Linked DNA regions of Drosophila melanogaster. The protein of the gene in region 2 interacts with the protein of the main gene of each other region in a pairwise test. Each region holds a gene or a part of one and is shown on either strand. Other genes may lie near its edges. The genes, in order: Spt-I, Drip, ninaD and Targ.

What was found.
Region 1: the proteins of Drip (region 2) and Spt-I interact in a two-hybrid assay, tested with the Drosophila melanogaster proteins (one large-scale study listed by BioGRID).
Region 3: the proteins of Drip (region 2) and ninaD interact in a two-hybrid assay, tested with the Drosophila melanogaster proteins (one large-scale study listed by BioGRID).
Region 4: the proteins of Drip (region 2) and Targ interact in a two-hybrid assay, tested with the Drosophila melanogaster proteins (one large-scale study listed by BioGRID).

The regions. Positions count from the first base shown.
Region 1 is NT_033778.4:13,166,831-13,171,265, reverse strand, and holds Spt-I (serine palmitoyltransferase subunit I), read right to left. Parts: upstream 2,769-4,435; 5' UTR 2,696-2,768; exon of another isoform or gene 2,452-2,695; 5' UTR 2,426-2,451; coding exon 2,378-2,425; exon of another isoform or gene 2,316-2,377; coding exon 1,816-2,315; exon of another isoform or gene 1,760-1,815; coding exon 1,432-1,759; exon of another isoform or gene 1,377-1,431; coding exon 1,011-1,376; intron 959-1,010; exon of another isoform or gene 950-958; coding exon 785-949; 3' UTR 522-784; downstream 1-521.
Region 2 is NT_033778.4:11,426,615-11,431,663, forward strand, and holds the start of Drip (drip), read right to left. Parts: upstream 3,032-5,049; 5' UTR 2,455-3,031; coding exon 2,439-2,454; intron 1,190-2,438; exon of another isoform or gene 838-1,189; coding exon of another isoform or gene 828-837; intron 1-827. UniProt on the Drosophila melanogaster protein: Forms a water-specific channel.
Region 3 is NT_033779.5:18,079,985-18,084,163, forward strand, and holds ninaD (neither inactivation nor afterpotential D), read left to right. Parts: upstream 1-1,643; 5' UTR 1,644-1,680; coding exon 1,681-1,809; intron 1,810-1,868; coding exon 1,869-2,171; intron 2,172-2,239; coding exon 2,240-3,051; coding exon of another isoform or gene 3,052-3,055; exon of another isoform or gene 3,056-3,112; intron 3,113-3,114; coding exon 3,115-3,205; intron 3,206-3,269; coding exon 3,270-3,476; 3' UTR 3,477-3,624; downstream 3,625-4,179. Other genes in the region: Arr1 (arrestin 1), read left to right, coding at 1-102, 163-210.
Region 4 is NT_033778.4:14,666,686-14,672,218, reverse strand, and holds Targ (tarag), read right to left. Parts: upstream 3,829-5,533; 5' UTR 3,804-3,828; coding exon 3,781-3,803; intron 3,772-3,780; exon of another isoform or gene 3,721-3,771; coding exon 3,119-3,720; intron 2,952-3,118; coding exon 2,701-2,951; coding exon of another isoform or gene 2,697-2,700; intron 2,633-2,696; coding exon 2,296-2,632; intron 2,246-2,295; coding exon 1,629-2,245; intron 1,568-1,628; coding exon 1,075-1,567; intron 1,011-1,074; coding exon 754-1,010; 3' UTR 544-753; downstream 1-543. Other genes in the region: CG12860 (uncharacterized protein), read left to right, coding at 5,528-5,533.

The DNA.
Region 1 (4,435 bases), 1.7 Mb from region 2:
ATTGCATGTTTTTGTCGCCAAATGTTGCGTATTCGCACTGATAGCACCGCACCCAAGTTCATAGTACGTATACGCTCAATTGGCGCTGATTGCCGGCTGGCATATCGGCATCGAAATCAGAGCGCTATGTGCACAACATCATGATTTGGGGTCGTCGTTGTCAAGTTCATCAGTGAATCGAATGCACAAACATGGGTTTGAAAGTCGAAGGGTTATGATTATTGCTCACAGATTAGGTCGCCACTCGGAAACAGCTCTGCTCCACTGGCAATCAAATCGTTTCAAAGCATTTCCATTCCATCTGGCTTATTCCACATATTAGTTATTATTAAGCGTGTGATGTGTATCTTAATTGTCATGCAAGAAAAACATAAATAAATAATGAATGTTTCTTTGTGGAAGTTGTTCTTGTAAATTTTACAACAAATGCCACATAATATTACCCTTATCTTTATCGGGATATTCAAAAACGTTTGCGATTGCGCAGGCGATAAGAAACACCAATAAAAGGGCACGTAACTACCAAATAAACTTAATAGTTTTATTTAACCAGCTCTGTTATCTATAACGTGTAATCTTTGAAAGTTTTCCTAGACTTAAAATTTTTCATTAAAATGCAATGCAACAAAGTGCAAAGAGCAAGTGCAAGGCTAGCTATTAACTTAAACAATTCATACTGGACTGGTCGTGAAGAAGTGATGAAAAAATGATGGGGCCAGCAGGCCTTAAAACTTAACAGCAAGGCCATTGTCGAAAGAAGATCATTCCTTTCCAACAACAAGGCTTATAGGACGGAGCTGGAAACACTCTCGATGACCTCAAACGCATTGTCTATTTCCGAACTCTCCAGCAAACGGTTGACAGCAATGCGAATGCTGGGACGGACTGGTTGGCGTTCCCTGTTCTGCAGGTAGGCAGCCTGTACCACAGCCACTCCACGAGCAATGCACTGGGAAAAGTGAGTAGAAATGTATAGTTTTCATAATTGCATGGGGAAATAAAATGCCTACCTTATCAGCCAGCTCTGTTAGAAGTTTCAGTTCCTTGTCAAAGTTCTCGGCGGGCTGGGCAAGATACAAGTGCTTCACTGGTGACACCTCATCGCCGCGCAGGGTTAGCTTGCTGAATCGCAAAAACTTCTGGTGCAACGTCTTAGACTTTGCCTGCAGCTGCTCGAAGATTTGTGGTTCTCGTTCGAAACGATCCAACGCTGAAATAGCCGCCTGGGTGAGCATGGGCGGCAGCGAGGCCGAGAAGATGTAGCCCAAGCCAGAGAGGCGCTGGTGCTCGGCTATGAAGTGCGAGCCAACACAGAAGCCACCGACTGTTGCCATCGAACCCTCCATGCCGGCCGATATCAGATCGACTTCATCACGCTAAAAGAAAAATACCAGTTATAATTTTAGTTTTTCTTTCCGGTTTACCACCTACATCGACATTAAAGTGCTCCGTAACTCCGTGACCACCCTGGCCCAATGTGCCAAAGGAGATGCTTTCGTCGATGAACAAACGCAGCTTGTACTTCTGACGCAAGGCCACCAGGTCGGGAAGTGGGCAAATCTCGCCCGTATTCATATAGATACCCTCGGCGACGAGGAAGCGACGTGTCTTAGCCGCCTTTTTCGGATTTTTCTGGTCTCGTTTTTCTTGCTCAATCAGCAGACGTTCTAGATCCTCAACGTCATTGTGCTTAAAGAAAACGATTGTGCTTCGTGAAGCATCCAGACCCTTCTGAATGGCAAAGTTGACAGCCTCATCCCTACAAATAACAAGTAATTAGTCGCCAATCTGAGTAGGTGAAGTAGACAATCCTACACAAAGATAAGGTCGCCACGTTTGGCATACGCCGGAATGGCACTGGCCACGGTCGAGAAGCCGTAGGAATAGACAATGGCCTCCTCCAGGCCCATGAACTTGGCAATACGATCCTCCAGGTCCAGATGCACGTCCATAGTGCCGTAGAAGCCCCGAGGTCCGCAAGATCCAACTCCGTACTTGCGCAGCGACTTGCAGGCCTCCTCCAGTATCTCCTGGTCCTCGAGGAAGCCAAGATAGTTGTGAGAGCCAAGATTTAGGCAGTCGTGTCCATCGACCTGGATGCGCTTGCCCACCCTGGACTGCACAACGCGGGTGTGCAGCAGGGGATGATTGGGATCGGTGTCGGCCACCAAGGGCTCTGGTTCATAGTCGGCGATTATTCGGTCTTCCTCCTCCTTGGTCAGCTGTCGGCGACGACCTCCTCCTCGTCTGTGGAGCAGCAACCAAATCACGGTTATGAGCAGTAGGGTCTCCAAGACGAGAGCAAACGTGGGGGTCTGTGGAAGGAGTAGAAACTGGAGTAAGCTAAATGTGGTGAAAAAGGCGAATGCAAACTTACGTTTCGGAAAATACTGCCGATTTCGTTGAACAATTGGATGGCCACCATTTTGACAGTCTGGTTCCGTGCCCTTTCTGTGAAAAATCAATTGAAACCGCCTTAATTCCCTGAAGTTATGTGTCATCTAGCCGACGCTTTCTTATCGCGGGTATGCCCCATACATATGTAGAATTGAAGCATTCGACCATACGGTACGGAAATCTTTTCAATTGGGTGTGTATGCTGACATAGGCTAATTGCCAGTGGGCGAAAAATGTGCAACCACGCCCTTCTCCAACATTCTCTTACATTAAATATCCATTTAAATCGAGCACTCACCACAAAACTCAGTTAACTATAGGCAAAATGCGTGAAATATCCGCCGAAACAGATGGATGAACGAATGTACTAAAAAATACCAATACGCGGATATCTTTAAGATGTGCGCCAAATTGGCGGCGATGGAGGAACAGTGGAATATGGAACTAGGGGACGTTTTTATTTATTTTTTGTTATTCAAAAACCTGGTCCTGTCGACCTGTCCCGCCCACCTGCCCCACCGACCTGTCCCGCCGATCTGACCCACCGACCTGTTCCGCTGACGTGTCCCACTGACCTGTCCCACCGAGCTGACTCGCTAACAACAAAATACAACAAGTTACAACAGATTTTAAATTTTTATTAAAAATTACCTAGATTTTATCAATATTTTTATGATACTGAACTCAAATAAACTTGCTACGTAACGGTTCTTTTCTAGTTATCATTTCAAATATATGATCGATTACTATTTTATATCGATAGGCAGAGCAGCGATCGCAGTGTGACCGTGCGGTGGGAAATAACGAAATCGAATTCAATTCAAACCGCCGATCCATTCAGTTTCCATTGAACTGCTGCTGCGATCGGTCAACCGATGTGAATGAGCCGCGTTACTGGCGCCATCTGAAATTCGAGTTCGCGAGATAAAAACCGCGAGAAGACAAAGAACACCGCAAAAAGCCGATGTAAACAAAGAGATATAGTTAGTTCTGCATTTTGCAAGAAAACTTTATCACATTACACGCGAATCGAAACGGATACTTGTATGTGCACAAAGTGAAATCAGCTGGACAACAAGAGTATTTTGCAATTGCCTTGGTTTATTTTCAGCCACTTGCGGCTGTCGTTTTCTGTGAAATTAACACTTTTTTCTATTGGCAGTGATGGGAAGTGTATATTTGGGTGTACCTGGCTGGTAGTCTAGATACAACAATTTACGCTATGTGTCGCGATCTAGTCTAGGTACAAGTATTCACTCTTCCTTGCAAATGTCCTTGTTTTAATATATAGTAAATTCTATTGCATTTCATATAATTATTTACTATTTACCTATATCACTATTCAATTAGACCCAAGGAAATACTTCTTTCAAAGTCACGATTGTATTTAAAATATACATAATCATTTTTATCAAGTTCCATTTCGTCTTAAATTACAATATTATTAAATAATTGCCAACTGATACTGATGAACTATACTATGTAGCTACCAATCAAAGTACCTTTCACATCACTATCTATCAATCAAATAGTTATAGTTAGCATTGCCCATGCGATAATGGCAAACCGAAATAGCGCAAAGAAAAGCCACTTCCTATTTCTCTTGAACTTGATGCGCTCGAATGAAGCTACCATGTCTACACCATGCCCACTTTCGCAGATAAATCGAGCAATGCACCCGACTAACTCCATGACACAATTGATGCATCCCAGCGCAGTATTTCCTCGATTAGGTATTTTCGCTTTTACCCGCTTTTTGCAATGCGCAATAAGTATCTCTTGGTGTGTGCGAAAATCGGTGGAGCAACCAGTTTTCGAGCTGCATTTTGACGTTGGCTTTTCTTTTACGTAACTCGCTGGCCGGGCACGAGCCAAAAACCAAAATAAATATCAATAATAAACACGGCGCCGCGCCAACCCAGTTAGTGGTTTTCACTTCACTTCACCTCACATCACATCACTTTACTTCTTCTTCTTTGCGGGACCTACCAATTCGGTCCGGCTTGCTCCACTAAGCCGGTAGCCAGCACGTTCCATT
Region 2 (5,049 bases):
ATATTGTTTGCAATCCATTTTTCGTCTACAACAATTAATCAATTTAATCGGATTATTAATTTCGGCTTTGCGCAACTCTTGGGCACTTTTGTTCGGCAAGGTGATGATTTTATTAATAACAGTCGCGGGAAAGATCGAAACCTGTTCGCTGGCTATTAAAATCGTTATAAATTAATTAGTCAGATGGGCAGGGGACTATTCAGTTTTCGTTTGCTCGTTTGCTGTGCGGGAGGAGTACGTTCAAACTCACTTATAATCTTTATGGGCTTTTGCTCCAAACGAATTTATGTCGCTTAACTCGTTTACAATGCACCATAAATCAAAGGCAATTTATTGGGGTTTGTGGTTTATGACTAACTTTGGAAGTTTGTCAATTAATGGCGATAATTTGAGACGACACGATAGGGAAAATTGGGAGACTGAAAGGCTGTTTTTCAGGCACATAATGGATGGCATTTTAAAAGGCAACAAAGTTGTATTTCTTTCGGATTGTTTTTTTAAATTTGCAAAATATGCAATTTGTACACCAAAGCGGACTAAATTTTCGGTATGGCACACAGTCACTTCTACATCAAATCAATAGATATATGAACATTCCAATTATTTTCCGTAAACTTAATTGAACGTTACGTGAATCAAAAACTTTCCATGGGAACCGAACATCTTCGCTTCTGTGCATCTCAATGGCAGCTTATTATCTTAATTATAAGCTATCCGATTAACAAACAAGTTGATCTTCCATTGAGAACGGAGCTCGGTTGGATGGAATTAAGTAAATGGGGATGTGCACTAACTGTGTTAAATGTCTAAATGTTCTCCAGTCATACCAAAAACCATTTCCTGGCCTTAAGTTTGCTACTGTTTTGAATGCCAATTTCACCGTGATGTCATGTCAACTCCGCGCACGATTATTACTGTAATTTTGTTATATCTGCGAATCCGTCGCCACAAAAACAGCAGCTACTAACGTCAGGTGGAAGTCTGTCTACACATATATATATATATATATATATGTATAAAGTGATGTTGGTCCAAGATGACAACGCATTGAATTATGAGGCGGAGAAGACATTAAGCGAAAGAGGGATATCAAATTAGCCACACGTTTGTACTATAATTTGCAGAATTTCAGCGCCAAAGGGCTGCGAATTTCTCACGCACCTCACTCGACTATTTTTAAACGCTTACTGGTCTCAAAATTCCACCCGAGCATTAAGCAGCCACGTTAAGTGAACATATTTAATATCTAAATCAAATATTGAGCCCTGTGTTTAAACACTTGATCAAATAGATGCTCAGGCGTTGACATTAATTAGCTGGAACCGAGAATTCTTGGCTTGGCAAATGAGTATTCAGTGCCGGGTAAATATTATGGTCATTATCACAACGATATCGGCGGAACAGGCGGCGAAAATGACGCCAGAGGTTGGCTTTAATTCTGCGAAGCAACCAGAGGAATGCAATTAGGTTTTTAATTAATTTGACTGTTCAGATCGCACAAATAAAAGTTCCTACTTATTTGGCTCTTAGGGTGTTTTCCTCCAGTTCATTCACTTGACTGACTTGACTCGGTTCGGTGTGGTTTTATTGCTTTCGTTGGGGAGCCATCAACATCATCATCGCATAAATTGCCTCGGCCGGAGTTTCCGCTGTTGTTTACCTAGCTAAGTTTTCTCCTATCTATCTTTTTTTTTTCTTTCCAGGCTTTTCTGTCATGCAAACTTTCAGTTACAGAAATCATCATCAATCGCCACGGAAGCTAAATCAAAGCAACAAAAAACTACGTCTAACTATAAAAAAAAAAATAACTCGGGGCTAATTTGCTGTCTTTGTCATGCTGTGTCAGAGAAATTATTGAAAACCAATCATCTCGTTATCGTTATCGACAGGCGGGCTACTCTTTGATTCGCCCAACCACCCAAAACAAAGAAAGAAAAAAAAGAAAAAGATGATTTATCAAAACATCTTTCGATGGCTTATTAAAGTTGATTAATTGTGAAGGAATGATTAATTTAAGGCAAATTTTGGGTTACTATTTGTTTGCTTTGAAAGTGAAATCCAAAGAGGGGCCTATTTTGCAATAAACAAACTGGGTGCTTTATTAAATCAAAAGTAGATTTGTTAAAACTGTATTCATTACAAATTTTATGGTTTACTTTTGATCGTTTTATTTTAATGTAAAAAAACATAAGGATTGATACACTGGCAATAGCAAATTGCAAACGATTTCGATCAATAGTTTTGGAAATTATACACTCTCATTGGTTTGTGATATTATTCAAGCAAAAGTTGAAAGCCCCAAAAGAGTGGGATTAACTTTCGCACAAAACCATAACAATTTGCCGCACTCTCGCCCCCAAATTTTGCTCGCAATTAACCTTCGCACACACGCACACGCATATTTCGCATTCTCCAGCCTCCAATCGCCAATCACTCACCTGTTTTCTCGACCATTTTGCTGTCTTCTGTCTTCGGTCTTCTGGCTACGATCTACTGTCTTCTGGGGGCTGCCACTTGAGATTTTTGGCAAGCGTGGGGGGTTTCGAAGCGAACTTGTGCTTTGCTTTCGTTTTCAAAGCGTGCTTTTTGCCTTATTGCTTTTTGCTGCGGGTAAAAGTGAGTTAGCGCGCACTCGAATCGAACTGAATTGTGCCAATAGTTTTTTGTGGCCGAAATATAATTGTTAAGGTTAAGAGTCTTGAGGTTGCACAATTGTCTGCCACTTGACCACACGGAGTCGAATATGGGGCGGAAAGCGGTGTTGTTATCAATTTAATTTCACCCGATTGACTTATTTTCTTCACTGGGCTACAATATTTTCAGATTTCCTTTTCGAAATTGGAAAGCGCAACGTGCAATAACTCGATTTTATTATTAGTTTATTATTATCGCCAATTAAACTAACCGCTCCGAACTCGATTTCCTTTTCGGATTTTCGAAACTGCCGCTTTTCTTTCTCGCAGTTTGTACTGTAGTGCTGTAGTGCTTAAAGCTGTGCTACCACGTTCGCTGCTCGAGCGCAAATAAGCGTTGCCAACGCTGCGACTGTAACTGATATACTCTCTGCCGCGGTCGTCGTCGCGGTCGGCGTCGCAGTCGCGTCGCCGTCACTGCCCCATTCAGATTTTTTAGTTTTGGGGCTTGGCCACCGCGGAGCTCCGCATGTATCCACTTGGACGCCTCAAAGGATCTAAGCTCGGAATACACCTACCCCGGATGACTTAATCGAATGGGGGCGCGAAAACATTTGTAATGACTCTTGTGGCTTTTGATGGCTCTGTTTTGGCCAAAGTGAGTTGCTTGCCAAATACTACAATAAATCCCTACTTTGCCCTTCGAAAGTAGCTCTCAGTTAGTTCTGAGTGAAATTAGTCAGTATAACTTGTGGCGTAATTGTTTTTTAAAACAAAACGTATGAGTATGAGTAATACCCCATTCGAGTCTACCCCATAACACGAAACATTTTCCAGTCATGGTCTTATCAGCTGCTAACCGTTACTGATGATATATGGACTCTCCCCCAAAGTTATTCTATAACCAATTGGCATAACATCGGTTTAAATCAACTGTTTCATATCCGAAAAAGCCACTCAAGGGCCTTAGTCTTTAGACGAATCACATAGATATAATATAGATAAGATAGGCACATATGTACATATATCCATGTATAAGATATATATACAATAGAAAATGGTTGTCTTGCTTAGTCTTTGGTAAATGTGATGTGATAATCACATAAAAGCTCCCAAAATATAGCATTGCTTATATGGTGCCAATTAAAAACCAATGAATTGCAATTAGCCGACAGATGGCCAAGTTCATAATCGAATTGTTATTGACCATGGGGAAAGTTCACAGCCATTTTGGGTTTTTGCACACAGCCTAAGAACTATTATTCGCCTGCCATTTTGTTCACTTGATATATGGACACTCAAGGAGCCATAAACACATTTTTGATTAATCTAATTGCGCTGGTCATGCCGAACCTCAGACTCAATTATCGCATAGCTAAGATGTTATCATTACAGGGGGTTTTTGACTTTTGATAATCCACAAACGCTGCACGTGACTGTTTGAACCACCCACCAAACGGTTGTACTAGACCTACCACCCACCCACTCAACCATTCCAATGCCGGAACAGTTTTCATTTTCTTTTAATGGCACCTTATTGCAGCTTTTCCAACTTAAAACGCGGCTAATGGGTTATGGACGGTTGGGCCGTTATCAGTTTCACTTTTAAACAGCTTTTCACCAACTTTAATATGCCATATTGATTGCGGGGCTTTGCTGGTGAAAAGGGCTTTTACCTTGTCGTCGTCGCGGGCTATTTTTATCTCTTAACAGAGCAACAGTTGCGAGTTATTGACAAAACAAGTGACAAGCCAAAATAAAAGAAGACTCGCTCGCCAAGAGCTGCGATTTTGTTTGTGGGGAAGCGTCTTGGCCCATTATGAAAACAAGAGCCAAATCGCAGACGGACTTATTTGTGCCTTCGCATGGGGAATTCAAGCGAAGTATGTATGTATGTACATGCCGGGGCTCTTTTGCTTTAATGAGTAATTATATTTAATGGCAGTTAAGCATTAAAATGGCACAAACTCTGGCTAAATGGGCGAGATAATAATCGCCGATGTGGAGATGGTATATGCCTGTCGAATTACCAATAGATCTTGGCTCCTTTTCAACTGGAGTTTCATTCACCAAAGTGAGTTTGCCCAACGATACCAATTAAAAGTATAATTTTATCTAGTAACTAGATGGGAATAGTTGAAATCATCAAATTAGATTCGCTTTAATTGTTATTAAGCAGTTGCAGATTATCTACTATAGGTTTGTAAAATAGATTTAACAAAACTTTGAATTCATCGAAAGGCACAAAGTAAAAACTCAGAATTAGACATTGGAAATAATTGTTGTTAATGCTAGTTACAGATAGTACGTAGCTGTTGTGGGTAAATTACCAAAATTGTTTATTTCCCTCTTTAGAACTTATACTGAAAATATTATTAAGATATCATTTAAGTTTAATAATCTAGTAGGATATAAT
Region 3 (4,179 bases), on a different chromosome or scaffold from region 2:
TTTGGCATAATTGTTTCATATGCTGTGAAGGTCAAGCTTTTCTTGGGAGCCCTGGGCGGCGAGCTCTGCGCTGAGCTACCATTTATTCTGATGCACCCGAAGGTAATAAAAGGTGTGCCCAAATATTTGAATAGTTATTGAAAGGCAATCAATTATTTACAGCCAAGTCGCAAGGCCCAACTGGAAGCCGAGGGCTCCATTGAGGCCTAAACTGAAAGGGCTACCTCAACCAACGAAAAAAATGGCGTATTTCTACAAGTCAAACCGATTTTTGTAGATCCTAAAAAATGCTGATGTTGCTGAAATGTTCTGAACTGCAGTCGTCGTACTTTTCCTATATAGCAAATCCAATATCCATATATTGTATGTGTGTATGTGTATTATATTTATAACTCAACTAACAATTAAATATGAACAGAGTTTATGTATGTATTTTGGAGTATTCTATTGAATTTAGCACGGTGTATTTGAAAAGGCTCCAGCATTGAAAGTTTGTATGGAATGCGCACTAAATATTTAATAATGTGCTTACGAAGGCATTTCGTAGTATTTGATATCTTGCAATGTCTGCTGATTATGTACATTGAAGTGCAATGGGGAAATCAACAGAAGCCAGTGCAATCTATTCAATTACTAATAGTGGGTCTTGCATTTGTGGCTTAGTAATTCCAATTATTGCTACTCTGAAAAGCCGAGGAGCAGCCTAATTAATACTTGGCCACTATGCTGGAGGAAGTTTACTGAACTGAATTCGAGTAAGGAAAATGGACAATAATTGATATAATATGGTGAGCTTCTTGCTGGACTTTGAAATCGTAAAATTTAAGCGAACACACTTCAAACGCATCCATTTAATTTGTGAATGTTTGCAGTCCCACTTTTAATAAGCACCCAATATTAACGATAACGCCACTCTAATCAAAATTTTCCAATAGTCAGGGTTGAAATACTGATCAATCACGCTGCCAACATTTCGGCAGACCAGGTGGGTAATGAGTTTAAAATGGTTTTGCGTAATGGGATTAATCGAATTTCATTAAGGAAGATTAGATTGCCGTCTTTGGAAGTGATCTTTTATAGTGGCTGACCATAAAAATTGCATTGCAAATACTAATTTAAGCATACATGCTATATAACCGATAAGATGGGCGAGCGTCAAGGCAAAAATAGTTGACCGTATTAATAGTTTAATCAACTAGCTTCAAGTTAATTTATAATGCGAATTAGGAAGCACTCTGGCATGCTATTAAAAACTTAAGAACTGATAAACGAAACTTAATTCCTAAAATAAAAATGTACCTAATTACTTTTATATACTATTATAAATAAAATTGTACCATGTATCGTTAAATTTGATTTAGTTACCAAGTGGTATTTGGTACGTGGCAGCATGAAATAGCTACTACTGCTAGTCTGGCTGATTAGCCAGCACTCTCAATAAACTAAGTGCAGCGTTTTGCATTTATCAGGATTTTTGGTACTCTAAACACACACTTAGATCCCAATCACCCCACAGAATAAGTTGAGCAAACCAAACCGAGCTGATTACCACAGTAGACATGATGATTAGCCGCTGCTTTATTTACTAGTGGATAATCTACTAAGCGACGCATGAATAAAAACTCGAGCGATATTTTTCCACTTTGCAGTCGCTCGAAAGCCTTTGTTTCGTCTCTCAATATGTGCTGCAGCTGCTGTGGGGTGACCCAACAAAAGGCCTGGGTCTTCGGCCTGGGAACCTTTTTCGCGGTCTCCGGACTCCTGGCCATAATATGCTGGCCTGGCTTTATAGACTCAGGGATTATGAAGGTGAGAGGCGGTGTATAAAAATAAAATTAAGGAGGAGTACTAATCGATTTATTAAAAAGGCCTTGCCGTTGACACCCACTTCAAAGACTTTTGAAAAATGGGAGGAGCTGCCCATTCCGGTGTATGTCTACATGTATCTTTGGAACTGGACAAATGCCGCAGATGTGCAGGCTAATGGAGTAAAACCTATTTTCGCGCAACTTGGACCCTATGTTTATCGAGAGGAGAGGAAGAAGATGGATCTTGAGTGGCACGACAATGGCACAGTTACCTTTAACCCCAGAAGAACTTGGTTCTGGGAAGAGGAGCTCTCTGGCGGCAAGCAAACGGATTTAATTACCGCCCCACATTTACCTTCATTGGTAGGAAATAAGCAGTTATTAAAAAACAATTTGGTCTAAAAGAAGTTTTCCTTTTTCACTTTTTGCAGGCTGCTTCAAACCAAATGCGGAATAGCAACGTCTTCCTGAAATTCATGTTCAACGAGGCCCTAAATGCGAATGGTGGACATCTCTTTGTGACCCACACGGCAGCTGAATGGCTGTTCGAAAGTTTCTACGACGAATTTTTGCATTACGCCATGACCCTGAATAATCCATTGGTCCCAAAAATCGAGTCGGATCACTTTGCCTGGTTCCTCAACCGTAACGGATCGAAGGACTTCGAGGGTCCCTTCACTGTACACACCGGAGTGGGTGACATCAAGGAGATGGGTGAAATTAAGTATTGGAAGGGCCAGAATCACACGGGATGGTACGATGGAGAATGTGGACGTCTCAATGGCAGCACCACGGATCTTTTTGTGCCCGATGAGCCCAAGGAGAAGGCTTTGACCATCTTCATTCCGGATACTTGTCGGATCATAAATCTTGAGTTCACCGGACAGAGCGAAACAATTCAGGGCATCACGGGTTGGAAGTACGAGATAACGCCGAATACCTTCGACAATGGACAGATCAATGGTAACGCGAAGTGCTGGTGTCCTTTGGAGCGCCAGCCAGATAATTGTCCTGCAACCGGAGCCACTGACCTAGGACCGTGTGCCGATGGAGTTCCCATGTACCTTTCTGCGGATCATTTTATGTACGCGGACGAAAGTTATGGCAGCACGATAAGCGGCTACAATCCGAATTACGATCAAAATAACTTTTATATCATCATGGAGCGCAAGATGGGAGTGCCGTTGAAGGTCAATGCCAATGTGATGATTACCTTGTACATAGAGCCAGACAGCGTTATAGAGTAATTATTTACAATAATTGTTGCCTACCATATATATGACTTGATAAACACATTTTTTCCTAGCATACTGAAGGGCCTGCCCAGCTTCTATGCACCACTTTTTACCACTGCTAGTCGAGCGGAAATCGACGAAGCCCTCGCCTCAGAACTTAGGGTATGTTTTAGAGCTTGTTGAACTACGTTGATTTCTATTTTAAATAATGCATTTTGTCTTTTAGTTGGCACTGAATCTACCGGCTATAGGGAGATATACTGGAGTGGGATTCCTGTGCCTGGGCTGCATTCTTATAGCAGTTGGCATCTTACTTACCATTAAGAGGAAGTGGTATGGCCAGGCCGAGTTGGACAAACTGGCTCTCAAGGATAACGAGGAAACTCCATATGAACCGGAAGTTCCGGCCAACGTGGTCGAACGAAACTTTTAATTTAGTATTAACATTTTTTTTAATGAGCAGCACACGGATGTGATTCAAAAAACATATATGTGATAAATAACTCTAAACATTTTTTATTCTAGCTTTAAAATATAAAACTTCTAAACAACTGAAAAAATTAATAAAATTTAAAAAACTCATATAACTATTGTCTTCATTTTACAATAATTAAATTAGTTAAAGCTTATATTTATCTATGTGGTTTTTTAAATGATTGAGTGAATGAATTTATAGAAGCTTGTACACAAATTTAAATAGGCTCTTTAAATAAAGGTTTTATTTTAGAACATTTTTTAATTGTTTTTAAAATTAAAATTCAAACATCATCTGTGTGTCTTTTTTAGTTTATAATTAATTCATATACACAAAAGAAAAAGAAAATTAAATAAAATCATTAAAATTAAGATTTAAAAAACTCAACAAATTTGTATAATAGTTATGTGATTCCTATACCTATTTAAACGATTTCGTATCTCAGTTGTATTTTCTTTTTTACAGTGCATCTAATGATTTATCTAATGAGTGAAACGAAATATAATCACAAAACTTCGTATAACATTTAACTCAGGCCGTAAAACAAGCCACTTGAAAAAGCTTTCGGAGATTAGCCTATCAGAAGCGTTCCAAGTGGAGAATTCAAAACAAATATAAAAATAAAAAAATCACCTGTTAATTTGCTCTTGAAATCTAATCT
Region 4 (5,533 bases), 3.2 Mb from region 2:
ATCAAATGACATTGTTTTTAACGCAGACGGCAGAGACTTCAATTAAAAATGGATTAAATTAGAGGCGACGATGGGGAAGACTACTGACAATATTAAAAAACACAAGAAAGATTTAGACACAGGACACAGAGGATTGGAGTCATTCGTCCTGCGGATGTCGATTCAAACATTCTTATGTTTATGTGTTCACATTGATTTATATTTTTTTTTTCGTTGCTTTAGCTCTAAATAATATGTAAAAAAATCATCATAAAATATAAAAAATGAAGAAAAAAAAAACAAAACATTGAACAGTAGACGTACAAAGTTTAGAAAGCAAATCAAAGTAAACAAGAAGCGTGAAAATTTGCATACCCAAACAAGGAAAAATGGAAACAAAACCAAATGAAAAACCAAACACAGCACACTTGAACCTATAAGCGTGGAGCCAAAGTGTGTTGTTCAGCAACTAAGCTAATATTAGATGTAAACTAAGCTAACTAATAACTTAAAATGGATTGCAATAAAAGTCAACCCCAAAAAGAACTCACTTGAATTGAAATTATATTGAAAATAAATCTGTAATAAGGAGGAAGTAATAGTTAATGACATCGGTCAATTAACAATTACATGGATATACAAACATTTACTCAGAATTTGGAACGAGGACCAGTAAAAAAAAGTCATAAAAATGCCTAAGCTATTAGTTGTAAGACAATCCCAAGTTCCAAGCAGGAGAACCAATAAATATTGCAATTCCAATAGTCCAATTCCTCATTGGGCCATCCTGTTGCGACATTTAATAAGCAAGGGCAGCAGAAGCTTCAGAAATCCGGACACTATGAGACATAATCCCGCAAAGCAAAAGGCAGCAGAATAGTTTCCCGTGATGCCTATCAATTTACCAGCAATTGTAGTCCCAATAAAGGCGCCCATTCCCATGGCCAATGAGGTAATCCCAAAAGCGTTGGTCAGTTTTGAAAGTCCCAGGTATTTCACGTATATCAAACCTCTCAGTGTGGAATAAACAGCTATTCCATGGAAATGAGAGAGGGTAATATTGTAAACTTAAGTAAGGTAAGTAAATGTACGCACCAGGCGCTACAGCATAGGAGAAGCCATACAGAAACTGGAACCAAATCAAGTTCTCTCCATAGAAGGCGCTAATCAAAACGGAAACACCACCGAAAATTAGACCACAACCACAAAGTCCGAGGGTCCAACTACGCCTTTTGTAAGCGAGGATGCCAAGGATGTTTCTCATCACAAGATTACTAATTCCGATAATGGGGCCGATCATACGGGCATATTCGACGGGGATCGTGGTTCGTGCAGACGAGTAAACAAAGGGTATATTAAAGCCCATCGGGAACAGAAAGGCGGACGCCACCAGAATCTTGAACTCAAACTGTTTCAGCAGGCGGTAGTCGAATAGTTTGAGCACAGTGAGCATAAACCGGCTATTCCTACAGGAATTTTGCTTTTTCTGATTCTCGTTTGACCATCTTCGTTCCCTATGAACTCTAGAAATCCTATCGGGTTCATCATCCACACGAATGTTCTTGATGCCATAGTTCACTTGCTGGGTCTAAGTGAAAGTTGGTGGTGTTCTTAAGTTGAAGCGAATTTATTCTTAATACAACACTTACGTTCTTATCCGATCCCATTAGTAGGAACTCCTTGCCGTCGACGTTCTCCTTGCTGTGCGGCTTTTCGTATTCGGCAGGACCCGTATAGAAGAGATCCTCCCGCTCCAGGGGCGCCGGGCGGATGAGCAGATTCTGCTCATCAGCATTTTGCGACTTCTTCCGCCGCCTCCAACAACAGTTCGAACAGGAGGGGCAGAACTTGGCGCATCCTTTCTTTTTTGGGCGTGGCTCATATGTACTTAGGATACTCCGGCTTTTAGCAGTCATCGCGGATTGACGTAAATAGTCATGCACGTAGAAGTTGCCGTAATACTCATCCGAACTGGTATCCGAAGAACCGGGTAAATGGTACATGCCCACCTGGGTGGGAGCCACCTCCACATAGGCGACCACCATCAACAGGATCAACATTATCAGCCCCGCCTGCGTCCGCAGCATGTTCCTCCATCCGATGATTGGCACCAGCCAGCTGTTGAGGAACGTGAAGAGTACTATGCCCGCACCGCCACCGCTGCAGGAAAATCCATTGGCCATCGGACGGTACCGCTCAAAGTAGTAGCCAACAATCAGCTGCGAACTTGCCCAGATCATGCTCAACGTAATACCACCTGCGCAGGCTAGTACTATTATTCATCGAATATCGTACAGCAATCTAGAATCAACCTACCAAGGACGCTGTAAAAGAAGATCAGCATGGTCAAGCTGACGCTCCAACTGGACGCCAGTATTGAAACTGCGGAACACAGGACCCCAGCGATGGCTACCTTTCGGAAACCAAAACGATTTATCAGGACAGCAGAAAACGCTCCGCTAGTGAAGTAGCAACCAATCTGGACACTGGCCACAAACGATACCGACGATATGGAGACATCCAGATCCTGGGCAATGGATGGCAATAAGACCCCAATGGTAAAAATTAAACCATCGATTATCAGCTGGGCGAGGAAGGACAGCACCATGATTACCCAACCGAATCCGCCGTCCGGTGGTATCACCATATAGATCTGTGGATGACAAGAGTCGTCATTCGTTTCTCAATTCACCACCACAAGAATGCTATTCACTCACTTACAAAAACCATACCGGAGCCAAGTCGTCTTCCACCACGGCTAAAGTCAAAGGACTCCTTCGAATTTTTACTTTCCATGTCGAACGATTGCTTGCGCGTTCGATTTCCGTCGTATTCGCTGAAAGATTCCGGCGATGCGGTATCGGCCAACTGTACTGTAGTTACATTGAACGAGAGACCCGATTCCTGTTGATCGGTTTCCTTAGGGACCACATATGAATCCTCGGAATCGTATTTGGGAATCAAGGGGGATCCTGTAAGAAGGCTACAGTTTTAGCTACAAGAAATGCATTTGGTAGGTTCCTCAATTTCAAGCAAATGGCCAAAAATAGCTTAGACAAAATTCAATTGCATGACAATAAAATAAAAATAAAAAAAAAAACATTTTTGTAAAAAGGAAGGCAGCGCTATGATAACTTACTCTTTTTATAAAACTTTTGCGTTTTGGTAATGAGTGGTTCTGCCCTATCATATTCATCCGTATAGCTAGTAAAGCTCAACATCTGAGACACCTCATCTGTGCTCTCGATATATTCATTCTCATTATCCCTGTGTGTGGACAATTCCTTGCTAAATCCACGGGTCCTAGAGTATTTTTTCTCAAAGGCCGGTTCCACAAACGGCACCTCAGATATTGGCTCAATTGGCCTAGATGGTGGAATTGCTGGCTGGTTTTTCGAAATCTCAGGCTCATTTGATGCCCCCACAAGCATATGGGGAAATCTTCTGATAGGCAGCTTGGGAAGAAAAGTTGGATTAAAGCTTTCGTAGAACGAAGGCAAATCCACTTCACTCCCGTGAGACTGACTAAGGGACAAGAATGATGTGCGCCCATTCAGGATATCCGTTGAAACTGTGCCGACGGCCACACTGACCATTTGTGGTCGCGTGTTTCGCGTATCATTGTAATAGATGGATGAGTTTTGAACCGAGATGTCCAGCCTGGACAGAGATTGGGATCTCAAGCTACTTCCACTTGGCTGTGCAGCGGCGGTCTTATCTTCATATTGGCTGCTGGGGAAGCTGAAAAACAGAGGGATTTGGTCGAGTTGAGTGCTTTGCTGGGCGAACAGACTCAGTCACCTTCGCCTACGATTCCTGCTCATTTTTCGACTCTGTCGCAGAGTGTTCCTGACATCTTTCACAAATCTCTCTGCGTCTCGACCCGAACCCAATGCACAGTGGCTGGCTACGTGTCTGGCTGCAAGATGAGAAGCCCCAGCAACAGGAACGGGAATTCATGGGGATTCGTGGGATTCGGGAACTGTCGCCAGACATTAGCTGCTCCTGGCTACCAAATGCTGTCATGGCTGCCAGGCGAGCGTGACAAACGGAGTTGGTTGGTAGTTGCTTGTTGGTGACCCCCAGTTGCTCCTCCTCCGCAATTGCCCCACTGCAACTGTTACTTTTTAGCCATCGCCTCGCCATCGCCATCTTCTTTTGCCTGGCGAATCCCTATTGCCACAACCCGATCCCAGCTCCGTTCCACCCGCTTGCCTGTTTATTTTGGGGCCGAAACAAAATTGCATCAGTGCAATTTCATTGATTGTAAGTAAATGAAATCATTCCTTAGTCGTCTGAGTTTTGCACGGAGAGCGGAGCGATTGGAGTGGAGCGGCTAAAGTGCATCTCAGCTTTAGGGGCAGTAACTTCATTGGCAGTCACTCAAAGGCAACAAGAGCTGAAGTATTGGGGTCGACTGTTTCCCCAGTTGATTAAATGGAAAGTGATGCCCGGGCTCTTGAATTGGAGGCAGTCGGTCCATGCTTTATGAAACAAACCTCGCCCCTGGAAACTTTAACTAAGCCAGCCCTGCTTTTGCAAAATGAATTACAAACAAAGTGCACTAATTAATTAGCGTAAAGGCCAGCAAACTTTTCGACCAGCCACTTCAGCTTCATCTACACCTTCCCCCCCCCCTGGATTTTTCCTGTTCTCCCGCGGGGGAGCACCGATTGCAGCGGCTATTTTTCCTGGCCAACAACTCTATGCGGAAATTGTTTTTTTCCAAAAGGTTCGCTCGTACGTGCTCGTTTTTTATGGCCCACGTTGTGTTTTCCTATTTTTCGATTTTTTTTCCCCTGAGCGCCTTGAAATCGAAACGGCCAAAAGATTGCGCTGCCAAATTGTTAACAGCAATTGACCCAATTTTATGGGAGCCCTCATGCATGGCCACTCTCGGACGGCAGTGACTCCAATGAAAATAGCGGCGTAAAAGCGAAAACTGCCCCGAGAACAGCAAGCAGCGAGCGGCGACCAACGCGGCGTATACTTATTCTAGTGGACTTCTGTTGTTTTTTTTTTCGCAGGGGGTCAGCTTTGTATGTATATTTTTCGTTCTGTTTTATTTTTTTTTTTTTTTGTTGGGCTTTGTCGTTTGGCTGGCTGCACTCTGTTTGCATTTAACTTGCAAACAAGCTGGGGCAAAAATTCGTAAAGTGAAGGTTGCGTTGCCTATTTTTTCTTTATTGTTATTTGCCTGCAAATCAAGGCAGCTGGACATTGCAAATTCGCTGGCATCGAATCCATTCGCAATTAACTGCAGAACAAACAAGGAAAACCCATTTGGTCCGTGGCCCGGAAAAGGCTCAATTCGCGACAGTATTCGAGGAATTACACACTTAAATCTGGAATCCATAGAGAAGTAGCTGTTGAAATGTAAATAAAATAGATCCCATCATGGCGGCCTTGGACTAGATTTCTTGCCAACTATTGGTTCAGCACCTTGGTGTTAGCCAGATCAAAGCAGAGCGTTCGCCTGTACAGACCAAAATTTCGTGTCTCTCAACCTGCCACAGCACCGGTTCCAATCCAAAACCTCCGTTTAGTTATGTTT